Linked DNA regions of Oryzias latipes. The protein of the gene in region 1 interacts with the protein of each later gene in a biochemical or structural test. Links are inferred from orthologs where the notes say so. Each region holds a gene or a part of one and is shown on either strand. Other genes may lie near its edges.

Region 1 (5,146 bases):
GCTTTCAAAGGGGTGTGGACTTCCAACAAGCTCTCTCCGCTCCTGACGAGTAACTTCCATGTTTTTGATTTAGGGCACCTCGTGCCAAATGACTATCGGGTGAAAAGGGGAACAAACATCAGTGCCGTCCCACACAGTAGTACCTCCCACTTTCTTCTTCTGCCTCATTTTTTAGTGTTTCATTCTGATTTCTGGAAATTACTTTGTTTTTCGAAATGTTTCCCTTTTATTTTGTCTCTTTTTTCTGAATCACTTTTTTTTCTAGACATTTGTTTTGGGGCTGCATGGTGACAGTGGTTTGCATGTTTGCCCCCAGAAAAGAAGGCTCTGGTTCAAATCCCAGGCGGGACCTTTCTGGGTGGGGGTTGCATGTTCTCCCTGTGCAAGAAAATGGATGGATTTGCTCTTTTTTTATTGAAAAGTATATGAAAGATCACAACAGAATAAAAAAAACAATGAACAGAAATGCTATTGTGACATTACAATACTGGGAAATGGACAGGGGGTTCTTTGTTTGAAATAAAATATTTGGGGGGGGAAAAGGTACGGTGGCCCTAAAGTGCAAATCACTCAACATAAAACAATAAAGATCATGACAATGAAAAAAGGAAATTAATGAACAAAATCGTTTTGGAAATGCAAACAAAATTCCGCCCAAAAAACGTTTCTGATTTCCAGAAATCATAATGAAACGTTAAAAAATGAAACCATAAAGAAAAGGGGAGGTACTGTGAGACATCGCCGGTTGGACAAAATTGCATGGAGTGACAGTTGGTGTCATTTGCCCTTCAGGGCCACCGTACAAAGGTGTTTGTTGACAGGGGTAATTATTAGTGAACACCCGGACTTTGAGGCAGAAAGTGCATGTCCCTGGTGTGAGTGGACCCTGGACCGTGCAGCGTGTGGGTCAGAACACTGCAGCACTGCAAACACTGTGGGAACTGCTTTATTGACGAAGGTAACAAGAAGCCCACTAAAAAAAATAAAATAAAGGAAACGGAGAATCAGAACCAACATCACAACATTACAGTGAGAGTAATAAAAAGAGGCTTAGAGAAAATGTCCACGGCGGGAGGGGAGGGGAGGGGGGACGATCCCTTTTCATCTCCGTCAGCAGGAACGACACGACAACCAGCGGCAATGGTACCCCCCCCCCCCAACAAAGATTGCGTCATCGAGCGTGTACACACACACGTGAATGGTAATATTTTTTACGTGTGACTGAGTGAGACCATAGTGGCAACAAACACTGAGGGGGGGGGGGGGGGGGTGGAATGTGATCATTTCAACACAAACAGAAACTTTAGTCAAGAGTTAAACAACAGTAACAGAGACCCCCTCCTTTAAGGAAAGCAAATAAAAAAGTCCAAACAAAGCCCCCCCCCCTCCCCCAGACATCACATGAAAAGCCCAAATGTAGCAGAACGATGTGCGTCTCAGTGTGCCTAGTTCTGCGGCCTCTGGACAACACCCCCCTGCTTACTGCGCTCCCCCACAGCAGAGTTTTTGCTGACAGCACCAGCTCTTCAAATCTTTCAGGTTTCATGGGATTGGTAAAACTAAAGGCACCAAACCACAGCTGCTGCTTCCCCGTCAACCATCGCTCTTTGGTTTCCCATGAGCCTCGCTGGCCTGCTGATCTATGGCATTTACATGTGTGTGCTTGGTTTTTTTTTTATCAGCATTGGTAGACTCCAGGCCACAGATTGGCTGCAGAGAAACACCATAAACGCATCTGTTATCTGAGAGTTTTCCCTTCCAAACAGAAACCAAACCCAGCCTTTTCTCCATCGTCGTGATGAAACGAGATGGCGATGGCGCCCACAGAATGACATGTGCAGCGCTTTGGACCACCTTCCTGCGACAAGCTCCCCCCCTTTGAGGCTGAATTTTCAGGTACTGAAAAATCAACTCATACAGAAGCACGCTGGGATGTCTCATGACCACAACGGCCAGAAACACACAGTAACAAGTACGTAGAGAAACTTAACAAAGCCATAAATTAAAAGACATACACATTTTAAAACTAAAAGGTTAATAAATAGATTTGTTTTCTTCACATTAATTCTTTTTTAGCCTTTACAGGTTTTGTATTTCAACACCAAAATGCTTTTTTCTTCTTTTTTCCTCATTTTTTATGTATTTTAATGAAAAAAAGTGTACGTCTTTTTTTAATTTATGTATTACAACTTGTCCCTCAATTATTTTTCAAAGCGCAGCTGTCTGTAGTGGCCACCAGATGGAGCTATAGGCTGCCTATACCACAACCTAAAGGTTTCCAGGCCTCCTAGCAATAACAAAACAAAACTTGGTTTGAGTTTGGAATGATAAGAACCCTAACCCTAACCCGGTTCTGCTAAAGGTGGACTAGCGTAAATGCATGACGTCAGCAATGTTGATGGAGGTGGGTGGGGGTGCCGACCAGAGGCAGCTTGTCATGGTGCTGTAGTGTTTGTGACTGACGGTCTGGGACTGTGTGATTCAGTTCTGTGGGCGTCCCATGGAGCAACCGGATCGGCTCAGTGGTGTAACGGCAGAACTGTGGCGTGGGGGGAGGCGTGGTCCACGGCTCTCCTTAAGGAACTTCATACATGGGATGACTGTAGAAGGCACTGGAGCAATAAGCCCCCGCCAAAAAAAACCCAAAATATTTCAGTTTATGTAAAGTAGCATCACTTAATAATCTGACCTTAAGTTTGATCTTTTTTAAAGGATTTTCCGTTCTCTTAAGTAAACTGAAGTAAATGTTTCTCTGTGGTTGCGGGGGTCTCAGCCCTCGCCAAAACAATCAGTGTTGAAGAACAATACAGGGCGAAAGCCAGAGTTTGTGGGCTTGAAGTAGAGGCCAAGATGGCTAAAACACTTCCTGTGCACCATTCGAGCAAAACGGAGGGAGTATCATGATTTGGCACATTGATGCTTTTTTTTTTAAGCAAAAACAAAGCCAACGTCTGCAGGTCAGCATTCCCGGTCCACAGGTACTGAGCTGCAGCTGCCGCTCTCTGCCTGATGGGGGCAGCGTGGTTCCCGTCACGCCAGAGGAACCTGCCAACGGACGCAGGCCGGCCTCGCCGAATCTGTTCAAAAGTTCCAGTACGAGTGCACTCACGTATGTACAGGTGTAGAAAATTGATGATGCTTGTGAGATAACAAACACGTCACGAGATAAAAAGTTCTGCCGCTGTCAGCCAGAAGAAAGGTGCGGGTGGCGGCCCAAATCAGCCTGACCCAACCCTGAGGCAGGGAGGGGGTGGAGGTGGGGGGTTGGCAGAAAAGTTCAGTCAGAATCCATCTGTCCGGCTGCAGCGGTGTCTCCACATATCCTACTGCCTTTTGTGGCTTCCTATTGGACAGAAGAAAGGCACCTGCTCCCCCACATGACCTCCTACCGCAGCTTCTGCCAGACTCAAGGCGACCAGGCGTCAGCCTCCTGCTGGACGTTCAGAGCTCACGCGTCCCCCCTCAGTGGGCTGAAATGGAATAGGAACGGTTGGAGGGAGCAAATGAGCATCTGGTGGTGAAGCAAACATGAGTACCATGGGGGCACCCCTCCGTTTCCATGGAGATGCTAGCAAGTCGTCTGCACTTTACTGGGAGGAGGAGTCAAAGCGGAACAAGTCCAAACTCCTCTCAGAACCCAACTTAGCCTCAGCCAATCAGAGTCCCCCACAACAACAACAACTCCACTGTGTGTGCACGTGCACGCACGTGAGGTGGAGGAAGAGGAACAAGAGTGGATAGAGTTGCTCCAAGGAGGAAAAGACGACTGATGTTCTTCTGGTTGGAGCTCCTTCTGCAAGGCAGGCTCCTCCCTAAATGTCAGTCTCCTCCTACAAGATAGGCTCCTCCTCCATGGGCTCCTCTGTGGACCTGTGCACACACACACACACTTGTTTTGAGTTTTTCCAGGACCTTTATCCCGCTTTATGGCTTGTGAAAACAGGGATAAACAGTATGCATTTGTAGGGTACTGTTCTACATTCTGCCACTAAAAGAGTTTTACTTTACTAGTTTACTCCGCTTCTTATGCATGAAGTGAATCTGTCTTACTCCCATGGTGAATCTTTCCTACCCAACATCAAAATGTTCATATACTGAAGGCAGGACATTTAGTTAGCCATCATTTTGCTCAACAGGTAGGAAAATCTCACAAGGTGGGACGGATAGTTCCAGCACTAGCATTGGCCTGTGCTCACCTGCTGCTGTCCGTGCTCTCAGGAACAGAAACAGGCTGCTCCACGTCCACGCTCAGCGACGCCATGGCACTGACCGTTTCCGCCTCGTCCTTCTCCGACTGCGTCCCCTGACCTCCGTCAGGCTGCGAGCGCCCGCTGGTCTGGGACAAAGGCTGAAGACAGGACCAGTGTTTACCTGACAGACAGAGAGACAGGAGGACGGTGAGCCAGAGGGCAGCACCACAACAAGTATCAGGAATGTTAGTGCATGCCATTTACTCTGGATCTCGATGACCCGCTCCAAGGAGGCACAAGCTTTAGGACAGGGATTGTCCAGCGGCCACTGAAAGGTGGAGTCACACTGGAACAGACAGGAAGAGCGTGTCATGGTTTCATCTTTTGTCCCTGATGATCAGAGACGGACTGACGGTTAAAGGAGACCTGCACGCTGCAGGAGTTCTTACCAGGTCTCCCAGCAGTGCAGACACGCAGGCCTCCGACGCGTCACAGATGGCAGTCAGGTCGTGGCCCCCCTCCAGAGCCATGACCACCCGCCCACCCGCCAGACCCATCAGCAGCTGGGTGAGCTGTCCGAAACCTGTGACCACCGGACAAAGTCAGGAAGACGCTCCAAAGCGGACGCCGAGGCGCCGCAGAGGCTCCACACTCACATTTGGCAGAGACGTTGTAGCCCCCCAGAGGAGACTGATGGCCCTCCACTGCATCAAAGCCCGCAGACACCAGAACCACATCAGGACTGAACCGCTGAGCGATGGGCATCACCACACTCCTGCAGAGCCAGAATGAGACAGACTCAAAAACTGCAACCAAGACCAGTCAAATATAGCAGGCAGCTGGTTCCAGAATCAGTGATATCACAAGACAACACCCCCCGCCCCCACCCAGCCCACCTTTAGCTTTAATGCCCCACTCTGATCACCTTTTGATCGATTTACAAAGTGTTTTCATTA
Region 2 (5,046 bases), on another chromosome or scaffold:
CCGCGGCTACTGACTGCTAACATTTGCAGGGGTCATGTGTTACATGCAGGAGTGAGTCAGGTCATATGACTGTCTCAAAGCAGCCCCGCTGTTAGCAATTGTGCTAGCTTGCAGGCTGGAGATTAAATCCAGAGCACGAGCTGTTTATGTAATCTGGGGGACAAGGCAGCAAAGCCCTCCTGCAGGCTCTTCCAGGAGACCCTCTGTATGTCTCGTTGACTCCCACTGTCTATGAAATGTCTTCCTGTTTGTCTATTTGCTCCTCATGATCGAAGTCTCCGTAAGGGGGAGTGCTGGAATTCATGTCATTTCTTCTTCTTTTGTTCCGAGCCTTGAAACAATTAGGAGACGGGGAATGTGAGAGTGTAATGTCAGTTCTTGGCCTAGACTGACAATCCAACCCGCCTTTCCACCCTCACTCCTGCCCCTGTTCCCCCCCCCAAATGTGAAGAACAGAGTGTTCTCATTTCTTCTACTAGAAACAGACCTCATTTCCTCCCATTGCTCTCTCTGGTCAACTCTGTGGTGCAGGGAACAGACTAGCACCTCACTCTAAACTCTCACTAGAACATTTTAGTCCAGTGAATGCTGTGGTCAGGCACTGATCAATGACCTTTTCAGTTTTTTGCATACCTTTGCATGTCTCTTCTTTATTCAAAGCTTCATAGGGACTCAGGTTGTCTATGCATTCAGTCATGTTTTAATGGTTGCATTTGAAAACTTTATTTTTAAGCTTTGGTGTGATTTATATACACTGAGATGCATATATGCAATCATAAAAAGTACTTTTCTCTAGTATGTCTTTGGACAAAAAAAAACCTTTGACCCATTGCATCTCACTTGAGAAGATTGCACAAATGTTTTTATTTATTTATTTTTTATTGTTTTTATTAGTAAAATAAAAATGAAGCAGATAGATTAGATTTTATTGCTGCAAATAACCAGCCCTTCATTGGTGCATCATCAGCAAATGTACTGTGAAAGTTGGTTGGTCTGGAAGAGTAAAAACTGATTTTTCCTGCCATGAAACATTTATGTTTAGTTATGTTTGTATTATTTCTTGACAAATATGTACAGCTAAAGAAAAATAAAACGCATATTAATTCTATAAACACCAGCTGCTTAAAAACAAATCAATTCAGTTTATTTTATTCAGCCATGACATTAATTTCCTTAAACCCTCGTTTATCATTTTCCAATTCCTAAAATAGGTTTAACTATGCAGTAAAATTTACAATATCATTACTTCTTGATTAGTCAGTACTGCAGGATTCTAAAAGTTAGTGCTGTCATGCTGGTGTAATGTTCCAGCTAAAAGCAGCGTGTCTGTCAGTCAGTCACACTTGCGTAGCGTGAACCAATGACTTGGTTCAAACGTTTTTTTATGATCAGTAAAAGTTCAACTATAAATCATGCATTATTCTCTACAGTCATTGGGTTGTCACGCTAACGTGGTGTTTCGGTCACATGGGGCTCTCCAGCCAAACCGGTTTTATAAATGGGCACCTGCTCACAGGCAGTGAAGGAGGAAAGGAAAGCTCGGGCCGCTTATACTAACGCACCTTTATTTACTGTACTACTACATATGCTCAAGTTCACATGCTACTTCACCCGTATGTGAGATAAGGAAGGCGGCACATCTGTTCACATGTTTAAGGATGGAATTTATCTGAAAAAAATTAAATGGATTTGAACCCGTCCTCAGTCTCACAGTGGTGCATCAGTCGTGGCGAGGGCAACTCAGTCTTCTAAAATCCTTTGCTTGAAGCAGAGCCTCAACACTGTTCATCAATTGGTATACAGTTAAATACAGGTAACAATGCTCCTGCAGACAGGCCTTGGCGTGCAGAAAGAATGCGATGAAGGGCACACGGGTTAACCACATAATTGGGGAAAAGACTGAGCTGGCTGAACTACAAAGCATGAGTTGGGAATCAAACCGTGATGCAAGCAGATGTTAGTAGATTTGGGTTGGGGGGGCGGGGGGGTGCTGAGAAGCAGCAGGGAGTTAATGTTGGCAGACAGGTCTTGGAGCTCTCAGGAGAACAAGGCAAGTAGGTTACCAGCAGCATGAAGTGAACTCCTCTTGCCTGCCTCCTTTTGTAACAACTTCACTTTACTAATTTAATTGGGTTTGTTATGCTGTAGGTTAAACTCCTGTAACTCAAAAAAAGAGAAAATGCAATCTATTTTTAAACTGACTTCAAGAAGCTTAAGTGCAACCTTTTTGATTATATGAGACTACCCATTAGAAGAAGAGGTTATTTTAAATTGAATTGGCATTTGAAATAATTAGAGATGTCAACTAATGGCTTGGGCTATTTCTTGAATAGATACCTTTTTTACTTCAAGACAATAGCACTTTTAAGAAAACGGTGAGGATGTTGCAGGCAGGGAATGCAGTGCAAGCAGCAGGAGGGCATCCAGGCCTGAGTAACACAGCCAAGGGAACTGTAATCCTGTTTAGAACCCAGCTGTGTCTGACGTCAAACTCATCTAGCCCCTAACTAGAGGTGAAGAGTTCTCATGGGGAGGGATGGAAAGTGGAAAAGAATGTATGCATGCTGTGTGGAAGTAGCTGCAGGGAAAACCCAAATGAGCTGCTGCCTTCACGTTCTTTACAGGCCTTGTCAGACATGCATCGAGTTAAACAGAACATATGTTTAAGCTAATTGAGCAATTAGTTTTATTGCAAACCTGTACAACAGAACGTGTGTGTTTACCAGCTTATGGAAAGGGTTTGAGGCAAACCTTTCTCCATCGTGATGAGCTGCACAGCCACATGAATTCTGAAAAGAGAGTTTGTCCTCGCTGGTCAAAATGCAGCTGGAAATTGTCAGGAAAAGCTGAAGATGTGAAACCAACAAAGTTGAAGTAACACTTATGCTTCAATTAATCTTTTAGAACATTTCCTTTTTTTAATGCATTTGTTGACCAGAAACTTCTTAAAAATAATTGCACCCTCTGTATTTGCTCCTTTCTCATTCTGGCAGACTGTGAACACTTGATCCGCAGGATGTTGGTCCTGGACCCGTCCAAACGCCTGTCCTTGGCACAGATTAAGGAGCACAAATGGATGGCTTTGGACGTCCCAGCACAGAGGCCCGTCCTGTACCAACAGCCACTGTCAGCTGAGGGTGAGATGGGTGTAGGAGAATACAGCGAACAGGTCCTTCGCCTGATGCACAGCCTTGGCATCGACCAACAAAAGACTATAGAGGTAAGCTTTCAAAAGGAAACCGCTATAACTGCAAGAACTAGTTGGCGACTTAACCATCAAAGCACTTGACTCCAAAGGGCAATGGTTGTAAATTGCAAGTCACTTACTTTTTGATACTGATGCATGATCATATTTACAAAGCAGTTAGGTTAATGGGTGTTATCTTAAGTGTGCCAACATTCCAAAACCAGTTTCACTTAAGCTATATAGTTCATCTCTATAGCTGAATACTTCAATTAAATGAAGTGTCTGCACTTCCATTGGGATAAACCAAAAATCTTAGAGACATAGTTGACAGCTACCACTTTCTTATATTTAATTTCTTTTCCAGTGATAACGGTTGTTAGTAGATTAATAATACAACACAAATTAGGTTTACAGTTACACAGACCTGATGGCTGCAATTTGTCCTGAAGATTTGGTCTTCCAGCTTAAGTTTGTCTTCAAGTCTTCAATTTAAAAAATGAGGACAAATCGACACAATGTGGAGTTACTCTGAAAATGTTTTTGTTTTCAGATAGTCTTTTAAAAAAACTGAAGAAAATGAAGTATTTTCTCAGACGGTGTAACTTTCAGAAAACAATCCCCTTGAGTAATTTCTTCTGTGATTCTAGAATCTGGTAAATTACAGTGAGATTTTTCACACACTGTCTGCATTTTGACTTTGTTTAATAAACAGTTATATTTTAGGAAATTACTTGGCGAGAATGTTACCATTTCACAACAGCACAACGTGTTTCCAAAGAGCAATTAGAGGTTGAAGTAAACATCAGTCTGCCATTTAATCTCATTTCACTTAGTTTTCACATGCTCACAAGAATTGCAATGCATGACTGATGAATGATTTCATGGCAGTATCTGTCCGTTTTGCTTCATATTTCAAAGCAAATTGAGGAGATGAAGGATCTTTGGATTGAGAATATTGAATTATAGTTTACTGGCTGTTCATGGAATCATTTGACATCTGGTTGAAAAAGGTGCCTGTTCAGTAAAAGCCAAAGGAGGCCTTTATCCAATAGAAAAATCAACAGTTTTGTTTATTCTTCAGCTCATTCTTTCATTCCTCTGACTCTTGGCTGGGTCGAGGGGGCATTTGGAGGGCGTCATTATTGTATTTAAAGAAGCTTTAAGTGTATGCAAAGTTTACATCAATGTACAATCTGCCTGCAACCCAGGAGAAGAGAAGTGTGAAATCAAACTACCATCAGTTCTGGAGCAAAATTCAGTTTTTATGCAAATGAAAGTTAAAAGAAATGGGTCAAACTTCACAGCAAATGTCTGGCCACTGTGGGGGAGACGATGCACAAGATCCAGAGAAATGTATGAATCCGCTGTCACCGAAAATCAACTTTTAAAGGAAAAAAAAAGTTGTTGTTCTGAACGTATTTCCTGCCACTGCTGCCTTTACTCAGAACTTGGCTACAGGTAAAAAAACCAAAGCAGGAAAAACTGAAGACTATCTTGTCACAGTTCAGTTCATATCAGTTTCAGTTGGGCTGTTGTGTAGCACAGATTGACTCTGATAGGAAAACAAACTGGGTTATACCCATCAAATCTGCCCTGCTCCTTCAAACTCAGCAGGGAGGAACTTAAAAAGCGTCTTAGTTTTGGGACTTTGATTAAACTCTCTCCATCCTCTGCAGTACCCTTAGTTTTATGCCAGCTTAGTTGAAAACAAATCTGCCAAATTTCAGCTTTTCACAGAAGCAAAAGATCAACTTTACCAATAATGCTTGTTACAAAATGATTCATTTACGCTGCTATGTTTCAGTCTCTTCAGAATAAAAGCTACAACCACTTCGCTGCGATCTACTACCTGCTGGTCG
Region 3 (5,146 bases), on another chromosome or scaffold:
GTCGATGCCACATCCCGGCTGCTGTCTGTCTGTCTCTGGTGCACTTTTGCTGCGCGCAGACACGGTTCCATTTCTGCTCTCCCCCCTGCGTTTGCTGTCTGTCACCGCGGCTCACCGTCTGGGATATTGAGCGGCGTTTATTCCTGTTGTGGCTGGCTCGTCAAGGTGCGCAACGGCAGACAACTCGTGACCAGATTGATTAAGGTCTCTTTTTCTCAAGTCGGCCTTTCCAGGGAAAGAACCTCCGGCAGCTTCATGTGCTTAACGCTGTGTTTTGTTTCTATGCGTAATGCACAACCTTTTGTGTATCATTTGTCTGGTGGAGAGAGGGCTGTCTAGACGCGCGCGCAGCTCCCTTCTCCAAATCCAAACTTTCAGCCGCGGAGCGCAGCGAGCATTGATCCCCGACGGGCTCGTAAATCGCAGCTATTGGCAAACATGTAATAAAGATCATTCAGGGCTGGAGGCATGATCTCTGATGCCGGTCAGGAACGCAGCTGTGGCCCCTCCGTATTCGCCTTGTGTTCCGAACAATATTTTGCCCGTCATTCTCACAGCTCAAACGAAACATCATGTAGCTGTTTATTTTTCCTTTTTTTTCTCACCAGTCCTTTTATGGTTGCACATATTGACCCCTCAATTCTCAATCAAACCTGTAGATTAGATTTCAAGAGGTCTATGAGGCGTCTTGGCGTGAATTATTATTAATATTATAAATATGAAACTTTCCTGTGGAAGTTTGGGAGAATGTTCTTCATATTAATGAGCAGATCAAGAGGAAAAAGCCAAATGAGCTGCCAAATCTTGTAATTGGTCATAGAACTGGATAAATGAGGCCATCAATGGGCTCAGGCAGAATGTGGGTCAGTGGATGGATTTAACTCTTTCTACTCTGTGCCCTCTTTTTTTATTTCCATAAAATAAATGAAATAAATCTGTGTTTTGTTGGTCATCTTAGGTGCATGCTGGTGACCGGATCTTAATTTAACCAGGCTTTCATTATGGGTCAAACAGGTTTCAGGAATGAGGTGGAGCAACATGTTGCCCTGTTAGCTTGAATTATAAAATGTACCCACAGACACCCATTCATTCAGGATTTTCAACATTTGCAAGCACAGGCGCTCTCTGGGGCCGTGTTGTGGGTTTTTGCCTCATCTTGCTGTCTTTTTCGCCCATTTTTTGGCCACTGCTCTCCTGCTCCTGTCTGTGATGAGAATACTGAGTAAGATGCTATTTGAGGCTGCTGACGGTCTTTGTGAACCCAGACGCAGTGAGAGCCTACAATTCAGCCTTGTTTAACTGGTGTATATCCCCATCAGATAAGCAAATGAAGACATCTCTTTAACATAACATATGCTGGACCTATTGGTATGCAGGATGAGCCTGTTGGACAGCTAACAAATTGTCTCTCTTCAGAAAATCCAATCAGTGCCGTCTGCTAATATAAGAACGCCACTAAGTATTCTTCCCCATTCATGTGTTTGTAATTGAAGCCTGCAGAAGTCTGATATTAAACACTTTTTTAGAAGAAATGTTCCTCTTTAAAGACGCACTCTGATGAAAATTGTGTTTTTCTTGTCATATTTTTCTGATGATGGACATGTATAAAGAAAATTAAGCTCAAAATTGCATTTCTTAGTATTTATTTATCCAAATTGTTGTGAATCTGGAGCAGACAATAAATGCAGTTTGAAAAAGAGCTTACCGGTATTTGTTATATAGAAAATACGCCGAGCCACAAGCTCCCTGTTCCGCTCCACTCTGATGCATCCACTTGCAGATGCATCCACTAGATGTACGTCTAGCTCCGAGCTGGCACCGGGCTCAAAAGTGTACAGCCATGTAGCTCCTATGTTAATCAGTGTATTTGTTGCTCAGGTAATGGTAGGTTGGGGTTTTGAGGGGTAGTAAGCTAGCGGGAGAGCATGTTGTGACACAGATGAGTGACAGGAAGTGGGGGTTGGGTTGCTCCATGCCAAAATTTCTAATGAAGAGGTGAATTTCTAATAAAATACAGCCGCTTTGCAGAAACTGTCCTAGACAACAACATAAATCAAATCAAACCATTTTTTTATATAGCACTTTTTAAATATAACACAACACAAAGTGCTTCACACAATTTTTTTATACATATATAAAAACAAGCAGAATATTGAAATAAAGGACAATATACATTTTTGGAATTGTAAATAAAAAAATGTTTCCACCGTTGACATTTCTCTTTTTTTTTCCATCCAGGTTTGACTTTGTTTACAAAAACAGCTAAAATCTCTGCTGAGCGGGGAAAGCGAGCCTCATGAGTCGGCCTGGCAGGTTACATCAATATCATGGATTTAACTAAAATGGGTATGATCCAGCTCCAGAACCCCAACCATCCCACTGCCCTGCTGCAGAAGGCCAACCAGATGCGTTTGGCTGGGACTCTGTGCGATGTGGTCATCATGGTCGACAGCCAGGAGTTTCACGCTCACCGGACTGTGCTTGCCTGCACCAGCAAAATGTTTGAGATCCTCTTCCACCGCAGCAGCCAGCATTATACCCTGGACTTTCTTTCACCAAAGACTTTTCAGCAGATTTTGGAGTATGCTTACACTGCCACTCTTCAAGCCAAGGTGGAGGACTTGGATGACCTTCTGTATGCAGCCGAGATCCTGGAGATTGAATACTTGGAGGAGCAATGCCTCAAGATCCTGGAAACCATCCAGTCCTCAGATGAGAATGATGTGGATGTCAACGCTAATGATGGGAGCACAGAAGACGATGAGGAGCGCAAAGGCCAAAATGGAGCGAAGAACTCCAAAAAGCATTCCCTGGAGACTCCCAACCTGTCAGGAGCTCAGCAAGCCTCCAACATGCCTGGCATGGTTGACCAGAGTCCCTCTGTCTCCACCTCCTACAGTGTTTCCAACCTGAGTCCCACCAAAGCCGCTGTGGACAGTCTGATGAGCATCGGCCAGTCTCTGCTCCAGCAGGGCTTTGGTGGTGAGCAACCCGTCCACATTAATTCCCACCACCTGATGACCGACATCAAGACTGAGATGATGCAGGTGGACATGAGTGGCAATGGACATGACAGTCCTCAGAATATGGAGTCCAGCGTCTCGAGCAACGGAGAGCGAAGCGGAGAGGACAGGAACCGAGATGGTCCCGGAACGCCAACGAGGAGCAGCGTGATCACCAGCGCTCGAGAACTGCATTATATCCGTGATGACAACATGGGCGACCAGCAAGCCGAAGTCAGCCAGATGGGGCTGGAAGCAATGGCAGGAATGACTGAGAAACACCTGGCCTCACTATATTCGCTTCCTGTCAATCATAAATCCGATGCCATGATGTCCATGCCGGTGTCCATGGCTTCTGGTCTCCCCATGTCCCCTGCCCTGGCGATGTCCATGGACTTCAGTGCGTATGGGGGGCTGCTGCCGCAAAGCTTCATCCAGAGAGAGTTCTTCAGCAAGCTCGGGGAGCTGGCAGTGGGGATGAAACCGGACGGCAGGAACCAGCATGAACGTTGTAATGTTTGCGGCGCAGAGCTACCAGATAATGAAGCCGTGGAGCAGCACAGGTAAGCTTCCTTCCCTCTCCAGTCTGTCTCCTTTGTCTTTGAGTTTATCCCATTTCAAAACTCATATAGGTGCATCTTCTGCATTTTGATTTTAAAATTACACACTTTTACATAATTGACGATTTCAATGGTTTTATAAACATATTGTCACTTTTTAGGCTTAAACTATTTAAAATGGGTGAAGCGGTTTTCTTTTGTTCTACTTGATCGACTTTAACAACAATTGACCCAATCCTTTTATGTTTCTGTTTTATTGCACTTGCATGAGTTCCATTTACAGTCACATAAAGCCCAGTTTTGTGCAGTCGCCAGCTCAGAACCGGAGATTTACTCCTTTAGTAGCTGCCAAGCTTGCCCAGGTGACTGCTGAAGCAATGCTGTCTTAACATTGTCCAAGACCATTAGTCACACCTTCCAAGATGTGGGCGGCAGCTATCACACACACTTACCAATGTGGAGCTCCCTCATCCAGGACCCTGCTCCCCTCCCTTTTCCCATAACTGCACAAGGGGGGCCCTTATTAGCTTGATAATTGGAGTAGACGGTCAGCTCAGGAAATGAGTGCTGAACCCGAGACAAGGAGGTAGTTCTAGGACAGGAGAGTGGCAGCTGCGCAGCACTGTTTCAGTCGCTGCATATAAATAAAGCTTTAAGGCTGAGTAATTTTACAACACATTCAGAAAACCTCCTATTGATCACAGAGCAGCAGTAGTCTCCTACCTTTTTTTACTTTTTCAGACTACGGACCGCTTTATTGTCAGACAATATTTTCACGGACGTATAAGGCCAAAGTGGCCATCCGTTTATTTTATTTGTGTGGGTAAAGTTTATCTTTACCCTCTGTAAAATGTCTGCAGCTGCTTTAAACTTTGTTTGTAAACTAGATTTTATGAAGGAACCATCCACATGTGATTTAGATTTACCTTTAACCCATAACTGTCAAAGTGGAAGCTAAGAATGGAAGCTAACTTCAGCTTTGTCTGACTTTTAAGGTGCAATGAATTTAAAAAACAAAAAGGGAAAGCGGTCACAAAAACTGGTATTATCTAAATACCATAATTATATATTATATATTAATATAATTAATGTGAATACACCATTAAAACAACTTTATTTGCAGCATCCTCAGAAGATTAGACAGCCAGTTAATGAATATTCTGCATTATTATCATGGTCTGTGGGAACAACTGTCACAATGAATCCATATTTGGAGTAAAGACTCCTGGTTTTTGTTTGTTAAATGTAGATTTCTTTTATTTTGAAGTTGAAGGCTCTTCTTCTCGTTTCCTCACTGACTCTTTTCTGTGAGAAGAAACTTTTCAGAAACGTTTGTTTTTTGTCGAATTTGGATGGATTTTAAACACCTGATCGAGCGACTTGACATGCGTCAAGAATGAGTCGGATGTGGTGGAGAGAATCCAGTAGTTTTCCAAAATAAAACTTCCCTCAGAATCAGATTTTAAATAAAACTGAAAAAATATAAGTTGTGTTTTTAAATTTTACCAGCTGTCCCACAGACCTGTATCAGTAGTGGTCCATGGCCTGAGGATTGGGGACCTCTTCAGTACAGTACCAATATCT

Evidence for each region.
Region 2: of the proteins of hdac5 (region 1) and sik2, one has a biochemical effect on the other in vitro, tested with the Homo sapiens proteins (2 studies listed by BioGRID). The link is inferred for Oryzias latipes from reciprocal best matches to the Homo sapiens genes HDAC5 and SIK2.
Region 3: the proteins of hdac5 (region 1) and zbtb16 form a complex in vitro, tested with the Homo sapiens proteins (2 studies listed by BioGRID). The link is inferred for Oryzias latipes from reciprocal best matches to the Homo sapiens genes HDAC5 and ZBTB16.

What each region holds. Positions count from the first base shown.
Region 1 is NC_019866.2:23,905,935-23,911,080, reverse strand, and holds the end of hdac5 (histone deacetylase 5), read right to left. Parts: intron 4,966-5,146; coding exon 4,847-4,965; intron 4,774-4,846; coding exon 4,640-4,773; intron 4,537-4,639; coding exon 4,455-4,536; intron 4,372-4,454; coding exon 4,197-4,371; intron 3,871-4,196; coding exon 3,831-3,870; 3' UTR 929-3,830; downstream 1-928. UniProt on the Homo sapiens protein: Responsible for the deacetylation of lysine residues on the N-terminal part of the core histones (H2A, H2B, H3 and H4).
Region 2 is NC_019871.2:15,490,802-15,495,847, reverse strand, and holds part of sik2 (serine/threonine-protein kinase SIK2), read left to right. Parts: intron 1-2,993; coding exon 2,994-3,220; intron 3,221-4,991; coding exon 4,992-5,046. UniProt on the Homo sapiens protein: Serine/threonine-protein kinase that plays a role in many biological processes such as fatty acid oxidation, autophagy, immune response or glucose metabolism.
Region 3 is NC_019872.2:25,466,300-25,471,445, reverse strand, and holds the start of zbtb16 (zinc finger and BTB domain-containing protein 16), read left to right. Parts: upstream 1-1,920; 5' UTR 1,921-2,327; coding exon 2,328-3,565; intron 3,566-5,146. UniProt on the Homo sapiens protein: Acts as a transcriptional repressor. Transcriptional repression may be mediated through recruitment of histone deacetylases to target promoters. May play a role in myeloid maturation and in the development and/or maintenance of other differentiated tissues.